Linked DNA regions of Arabidopsis thaliana. The protein of the gene in region 1 interacts with the protein of each later gene in a pairwise test. Each region holds a gene or a part of one and is shown in the gene's direction. Other genes may lie near its edges. The genes, in order: AT3G10120 and PUP8.

Evidence for each region.
Region 2: the proteins of AT3G10120 (region 1) and PUP8 interact in a protein complementation assay, tested with the Arabidopsis thaliana proteins (one large-scale study listed by BioGRID).

The regions. Positions count from the first base shown.
Region 1 is NC_003074.8:3,127,757-3,131,400, forward strand, and holds AT3G10120 (uncharacterized protein), read left to right. Parts: upstream 1-2,315; 5' UTR 2,316-2,398; coding exon 2,399-2,920; 3' UTR 2,921-3,135; downstream 3,136-3,644. Other genes in the region: AT3G10130 (SOUL heme-binding family protein), read right to left, coding at 3,366-3,440, 3,521-3,630.
Region 2 is NC_003075.7:10,067,200-10,071,662, forward strand, and holds PUP8 (purine permease 8), read left to right. Parts: upstream 1-2,258; 5' UTR 2,259-2,518; coding exon 2,519-2,549; intron 2,550-2,621; coding exon 2,622-3,775; 3' UTR 3,776-3,916; downstream 3,917-4,463. Other genes in the region: AT4G18180 (Pectin lyase-like superfamily protein), read left to right, coding at 1-118; PUP6 (purine permease 6), read left to right, coding at 740-791, 883-1,994.

The DNA.
Region 1 (3,644 bases):
GGTGGAACCTATTCGAACCCGCTTTATCATCGTAAGCACTTTAAACTTAGTTGATGAAATGGACCACACTACCCAAAAATATCAACTTTGCATAAGATTACGTTATCAAGAGGGCAAATTGGTTTTATATGTATAAATGTGTATATGTGAGGTAGTGATGGATAGAGAAAGTTTGGTGAAGCTATATAGCCTTAATGGGCAAGTAGCGAGATAAGTATAGAGTGTTCGGTTTTCTTGTTATAGATTAGACTATGTATATGCCTCAACGGTCCATATTTCTCTGTGCAAAAATAAGATATAAAACGGTCCATATGAGATAAGTTTGTTTGTTTTCTCTCTTGGAATTTAGTAGGATTGATACCCACGCTATGAAAACTAAATTTTGGATAAGCTTAATTACTTGTCGATCTTGTGCGCTTGGTTTGACTTATTATAAGCTAGATTCGTTTCAAATGGTGTTAGAATCAACTCCATGCATGTTGAATTGTTGATGATATCCGACATTAGAGTTATCTAGAAACGAGAGACTAAAACAAACGAAGATAAACCGACACCTAAGCATAATTTGAAGTGGCATATGTAAATTCAGTTTCTGCTTCATAAGCTTTGAGCAACAATTCAAAACCACAAAAATTAGGAAACTTAAGTAAATGCAAACAAATGAGGGTATTGTAATGCAAATCTCTAGGCCAGTGAATTTATCTATAAGACTATAAGGTAATGCGTTATTACTAATCATTTTAACAAAACATAATGATAACATGTCGTATAGTGAAAAGTATCAAACGAGTGAATTAAAGAAGTACAATGAAATTGGGTTTTGTGGAGTTCCAACTAACAAAACAATGGTATAGGAAAGTGAGACTTGCGGGCGCATGTTAGCGATTAAAGAGAAAGGGGAAATATTCAATGTAAGAATGATTATAGAAATCAAGTTGTGGTTCGAATTGGAGGTGACATCCACTTATCAAAAGTCATTTGGACTCCTTTTGTGGTCCTCCTAGTGGCTCCACCTTATGATGTAGGCAAGCCTCCGCTACAATCCTTTTCTTTTTGGTCAATATATAGATTTTTTTCGTAAACTTAATACTATTTTTAGATCGTGAATGGTTTGTAACAGTTGAAACTAGTGTGGTTAGATGTCTACTAAAGTATAAAGATGGTTGGTGTAATGCAATTACACACAAAATGTTAATTCGTCTAACAAATCCAATAAAATATTAATTCAATTTTAACTATATGCTTGTTAGTTAAAATGATAGATATAATTGCTTGAATCTTGTCCAAAAAAAAAGAAGAAGAAGATAAAATGCTTAAATCAATCTTTTTATAAACATAACGTATTTTGGATTTTAACTCTATCGATGCGACAAATGAGTGTTCGTAAAATTAATCTTAATTTTTGATTCTTTTAACAAACGAAGAGATATTATGTGACCTGCATTCTTATAAATGTAACCGACTTGAAATGAATCATTAGTGAAACAACTTGGATATTCAATTTTAAGGCTAAAGAAAGTGCATACCTCCATCCTTATTATTTAAAACGATTTGAAATGAATCATTCATTCAACTAATTTTAAAATGACACTACTGTAGCTCAAATCTTCAATAGACCAAGATATATCCTCCCAACAAGAACATCGGGAGTCGTTAAACAATGTATTGTTGAAGAGTTTGGTGATACACTTAGTTTTAATCTAATCAATTTGAATATCTTGTACCACCTACATAATCATATACTCCTACAAGAATATAGGTAGAAATTCTTTTTTAAAAAAGACATAACTCATAAGTCATAAACATACATTGGATGCAACGGTGATGCACGACATGCACTTCCATTCTTTGGGGATATTCAGACACATAATTCAGCCAAACTAAATTTTAACTATTTCAAACAATTTTATTTGTAATTAGATAACTTTTCCTACCATTTTAACTTACTATCAAATCTTTTAACTTGATATATTCTGATCACACTAATCACATCTACCACCTTTATACCACTACCACTACAAGTCTACACAACTATTCCGAGATCTTTATGTGAAAATATCGAAATTCGTTTTTTTTTAATGTGAAAAAATCGAAATTAGTTTAGGAGATCCAATTTTTTTAAAAACATAATTAGGAGAGCACCACCCGACCACACCCCACCACGACATATAAACACTTTTAATGAAAAAAAATGAGATAAAGATCATTTAGGGGAGCATTTGATAGAATGGCATTTCTCGTAATATTCCCGAAACGCAGGGGCATTCACATAACCTTAAGTTCTATAAATATGCAACCACAAATCTCCAAAACTCAAGAAACAAAAAAATCTCTAAACACATATACAGAAGAAAGCACAAACTAAAGTTAGAAAAAAACAAACAAACAAACAAAAAGTATGGGGAACTGTTTAGTAATGGAGAAGAAAGTGATAAAGATAATGAGAAATGATGGGAAAGTAGTTGAATACAGAGGACCTATGAAGGTTCATCACATCCTCACCCAATTCTCTCCTCACTACTCTCTCTTTGACTCTCTCACCAACAATTGTCATCTTCATCCCCAAGCCAAGCTTCTCTGTGGCCGTCTCTACTATCTATTGCCCCAGGAGACTAACTCAATCAAGCACATGAAGAAGACGATGAAGAAAGTCAGGTTTGCAAATCCAGAGGTGGAAAAAGAAGAACAAGAAGAAGATAGATTAACAGATTGTTGTGACAACACCAAGGAGAAGACTAATGGTGTTGTGAGAGTGAAGATGGTTGTGAGTAAGCAAGAGCTGGAGAAGCTGCTTCAAGGAGGTTCTGTTCATGAAATGGTTTATAGGACTCTTGCTAAGCAACATCTGTGTGATGATGATGATGAGTGTCATAAAGAAGGCTGGAGACCTTTGTTAGATAGCATTCCTGAAACTGATTAGCCCATGGGATGTTATATCTAGATATATATGTGACATATACTTATATACATAGATAGATAACACAAGCTTGTTCAAGAGAAAAGAAGAAAACTTGTAATTCCCAGAAATACTGTTCCAAGGGTTGGTAGTACATGAAACCCTTTTTGTAGAAAGTTTAAAAATTTGTACTAAACCCCAAAAATGTAAACTTGTTAGGACGGAATTTTCCAAAAGTTAAAAGGTCCTGAGTGCTTCTTTGGGTTAATTTCAAAGCCTATAGTAGGCATCTCTAGTGGGCTATAAGCGAAGTAAAGATGCATCATAATGGTGGGTGAAGAAAATGGCTTCCAGGACCAGTAATTACTACTCATTTTCAACTATTCAAGTAAACGCGTTTTGTCTTTAGCACAAGTATTTAACTGTGTATACATATAATATATACATGTATGTATGACTTGTGATGGGGCTAATCTTCTTTGTTTTCAACTTCGAGAGAGACCTCGTTGCGGCGCATAAACGGGAGAGTGAATGGTGGATTATACTGCAGGAAATGAATTCATTAATTAGTATCAGTAGAGAGTCTAAGACAATCCATTTAGCCATTTATGAATGTTGATTAACCTGTGCAACTTCAAATGATACTCCATCTCTCACTCGGAACTTCTTGTCATTTTGAAGAGCTCTCCTTAGTTCTCTCTCCCGTCTCTCAATCTCTTCATCGGTAACATAGCCTGAAACAAAGTTG
Region 2 (4,463 bases), on another chromosome or scaffold:
TTCGTCTGATGGAGGAAGAAAACAGAGTAGTAACAGAGGAAATGAAGCTGTCTCTTCTTCTTGTAGAAACGTTAGAGCTAATTACATTGGGACTCAAATCCCACCTCCATGTCACTAATCATCATCATCATCATTACTATCGTCAATTCATCATTTTGAAGTTTATCTAGTACTTAAACTTTTGTGCTTTCTTTTTGGACACGTTATCTTCATATGGTCATATTAAGTTTGCTACTTTTGTTGTCTATAGATAAAGTGCTACTACGCTAAGGAATATTTTTGGCTAAATAATAAAAGAAATATGACAAGAAAAAACTGGTTGGTAATAAAAATTTAAATTTGGTTCGTGTTTAACGGTTGATAATACTGGTTGGTAAGTTTGATACTTTTGTCTATAGATAACTTGCTAGTACCCTAAGGATTTGTTTTGGCTAAATATAAAATATGGCAAGAAAATTCTGGTTGGTAATAAAATTTGGTTCGTTTAAAGATAGGATCCTACAAAAATGGAGGAGATGATTCATTCCAAGAGTGCCATTTAACAATTCACGGGAAATGGTTAGTAGGACAAATTATAACGATATATGTAGTACTTATAATTTTAAAAACTGAAATCTTAATGTAAACTAATACTAACTTTATTTATTAAAGAATAATATATGCATACGCATTTGCCTGTTATATAAGTAAGCAACACCATCTTTATTTGTTCCCTGACATATTTCTCCTTCAGGTTTCTATGATGGAACTAGAATCAGAAACTCAAGAACTCCATCTTCACGTAAATGGCGGTAAGTATTGTAACAGAAATTCCGGCGTAGAGATTCTTGTGTTCTTCTTCTTTTACTTATGTTCTTGTTCTGTTTCATGTGTTGATGGTAGAACCTGAAGGGAAATTTTCAACAGAAGAGAGAAGTCACAAGTACTCTTGGAGGTTAAGAGTGTCTCTCTATGTCACTCTCCTCTTAGCTGGAGAGACAATAGCCACTCTCTTAGGTAGACTTTACTACGAAAAAGGCGGTAAAAGCACATGGCTCGAAACCTTGGTTCAGCTTGTAGGGTTTCCTTTAACCCTTCCTTGCTATTATTACTTAAAGCCTGAGCCGTCCAAGACTAAAACCATTACCAAAAAAACTACTTCTTCCTTCTTGACACTATCTTTAGTGTATATTGGACTTGGCTTGCTTGTTGCTGGACATTGTATTTTGTACTCATTTGGGCTACTTTACCTTCCTGTCTCAACTTTCTCTTTGATCTCTGCGTCGCAATTGGCTTTTAACGCCGTCTTCTCTTACTTCCTAAACTCACAAAAAATCACACCATTTATACTCAATTCACTTGTTCTCTTAACCATATCTTCTACACTTCTTGTTATCCAACATGAACCAGAATCTCCCTCTTCTACTTCAAAGTCCGCAGCCAAGTCCAAGTATGTGATTGGATACATCTGCGCGGTCGGTAGCTCAGCTGGTTATTCTCTGGTGCTTTCTTTAACAGATTACGCGTTCGAAAAGATTCTAAAGAAATACACATTCAAGGCTATTTTAGACATGGCCACATATCCGTCTATGGTAGCTACTTGTGTAGTTGTGGTAGGACTTTTTGGAAGTGGTGGGTGGAAAAAGCTGAGTACAGAAATGGAAGAGTTTCAACTAGGGAAAAGCTCATACATTTTGATAAACATCGGTTCAACGATATCATGGCAAGCTTGTTTGATTGGAAGTGTTGGTTTGATTATCGAAGTTTCATCGCTTTTTTCCAATGTCATAAGCACTCTTTGTTTACCAGTTGTGCCTGTTCTTGCTGTTGTCTTCTTCCGTGATGAGATGAGTGGAATCAAGTTGGTTGCAATGTTTTTGGCCATCTGGGGATTTGTTTCTTATGGTTATCAGCATTATGTCAATGATAGAAAGCCAGAAGAAGACCAAGAGCTTCCTCAGTCTAAAGAAGAAGAAGAACAAAAACAAGTAGATACCATTCATGTCCAAGCTTAGGCAAAGATCCAAGAAAACCAAAAGCTTTTGTAATTTGAACCAGTTTAATCTAAAATAAAAATGAGTTATATATATTGTAGGCACTACAAATAAAATTGGTAAGTGTCTCAAGGTCTCACAGTCTTCATGTATCTTTGTTGACTTCTGAATCCAAGTCAAGTGTACTTATGGCCTTCCCGTCTTGTTGTATCGTTGTTGACTTCCAAATCCACAAAATAGATTACTAACATAACAAAAACAAGTAATAATTTTTTTTTTTCAAGTGGACGGACACTTGAGCCAATAAGATTAGAATAAGATACAACAATATCAAGCGTCTATATATCTGTTTTCACCAAACTCAGCCTACTTTAACAACGTTGTGTATAAGAAGTTTTCTTAAAACCGCCAATTAAAAGGTTTCAATAATTCAAAGTCAACGGTAAACATCTTTACAGAAATATGATGCACTTGTTCCCACCAACCTTCATATATATAAAAGCTTTACCAAAACTCTGTTTGTGGGAAGTCCTCTTAGAGTGGTCATGGAAATAACTCAAGTAATCTATGTCAATGGTAAGCAAGATGCATCTCGTAGTGTAGATTACTTGATTCTTTTCGCTAACCTGTTGTTTTTGATGTTTTCAGATCATAACAACATAGAAGCAAACCTAACAGGTCAGGAGGAAATGAATACCACCATGGAAATCGAATCTTCGTCCGTACCTCAATCGAAGAACTATAAGAAATGGCTTCGTATTTCCATTTACGTGTTCTTTGTCCTTGCTTGCCAAGCACTTTCTACAATTTTGGGCAGAGTTTACTATGAAAATGGTGGGAAGAGTACATGGATGGGAACACTTGTCCAACTAATCGGCTTCCCTGTTCTGTTTCTCTTCCGCTTCTTTTCCCAAACCAAAAATCCCAAACCAACAGAAGCAGATTTCAGAAAGTTCTCTTCCTTCACCATTCTTGGATCAGTTTACATCGTTACTGGACTATTAGTGTCTGCTAACTCTTATATGTCCTCTGTTGGTTTACTATACTTACCAGTTTCTACTTTCTCCCTCATCTTGGCCTCACAATTGGCCTTCACTGCCTTCTTCTCATATTTTCTAAACTCGCAGAAGTTCACACCTTTCATTGTGAATTCTCTGTTTCTCCTTACTATTTCCTCTGCCCTCCTCGTGGTCAACACTGATTCGGAAAACACAGCAAAAGTGTCTAGAGTAAAATATGTGATAGGGATAATATGTACCATTGGTGCTTCTGCTGGGATTGGATTGCTGCTATCCCTGGTACAACTGATCCTCAGGAAGGTTTTAAAGAAGCAAACATTCTCAACGGTCACTGACTTGGTCGCTTACCAATCTCTAGTTGCAAGCTGTGTGGTTCTCATAGGACTTTTCGCAAGCGGGGAGTGGAAAACTTTAACAAGTGAGATGGAAAACTACAAACTGGGGAAAGTGCCATACGTTATGACTTTGGCCTCGATAGCTATTTCCTGGCAAGTCTACACCATTGGCGTCGTGGGACTGATCTTTGAGTCATCTTCTGTGTTCTCCAATTCCATAACTGCTGTGGGATTGCCTATAGTTCCAGTTGTAGCAGTGATTGTTTTCCATGATAAAATGAACGCGTCAAAGATCTTCTCCATCATTTTAGCTATCTGGGGATTCATTTCATTTGTCTATCAGCACTACCTCGACGAAAAGAAGTTGAAGACTAGCCACACAAGTCCTGTAGGAGATCCTCATCTACTACCTGCTGAGGAAGGTCACACAAACATACATAGTGTATGATCAAAACATATTTCCAGTGTAAAGCCAATGTATCTTTGTACAGTTTGAGCATAGATATAAAAACGTGTATCTCTAGTCAATCATAAGTAACTGATAAGTTTTGTACATAAGATACCAATAGTTCGGATCTTTTTTACTTCTATATACCGGAGATACCCATAACTTAAAGATGCAAATGCAATACTCTGCTTTGTCATTTTGCAATGCATTTGAATCACCAAAAAACAAGAGCAAACATCGATAGCAGAGAGGCAAATAGGCTAAAGCATCCTTGGAAAACCAGAGCTTTGAACAAAAAAAAAGAAACAAGTGAACAAAAATAATACCCACTTACCTGGAAGCCACTGACATAACAAATAACCAATGTAGTGACTTGAACAGTGCCTTGTAAAAAGACTCCTTAAAATACCAAAAACGTATACTCCAGGAGCTTGGATTCTTGTATCTTTGTTGACTTCTGATTAAACGTCAGTAGACACTGAGAAAATAAAAAAAATTCTCGTAGAGCCGCCATTCAAAAGTTTCAAGAATTCCACAAGTCAAGTGTAAGCAAATAAGAAAAGTCACCGGTCAACATGAGACTACTAAATAATGATACTGCTACTGTCATCTATCGCCTGCCCCATCCATATAATACGATTTACTAAAAGCCTGCCATGTTTGATAATGCAACTTGTGTAGGGTATTT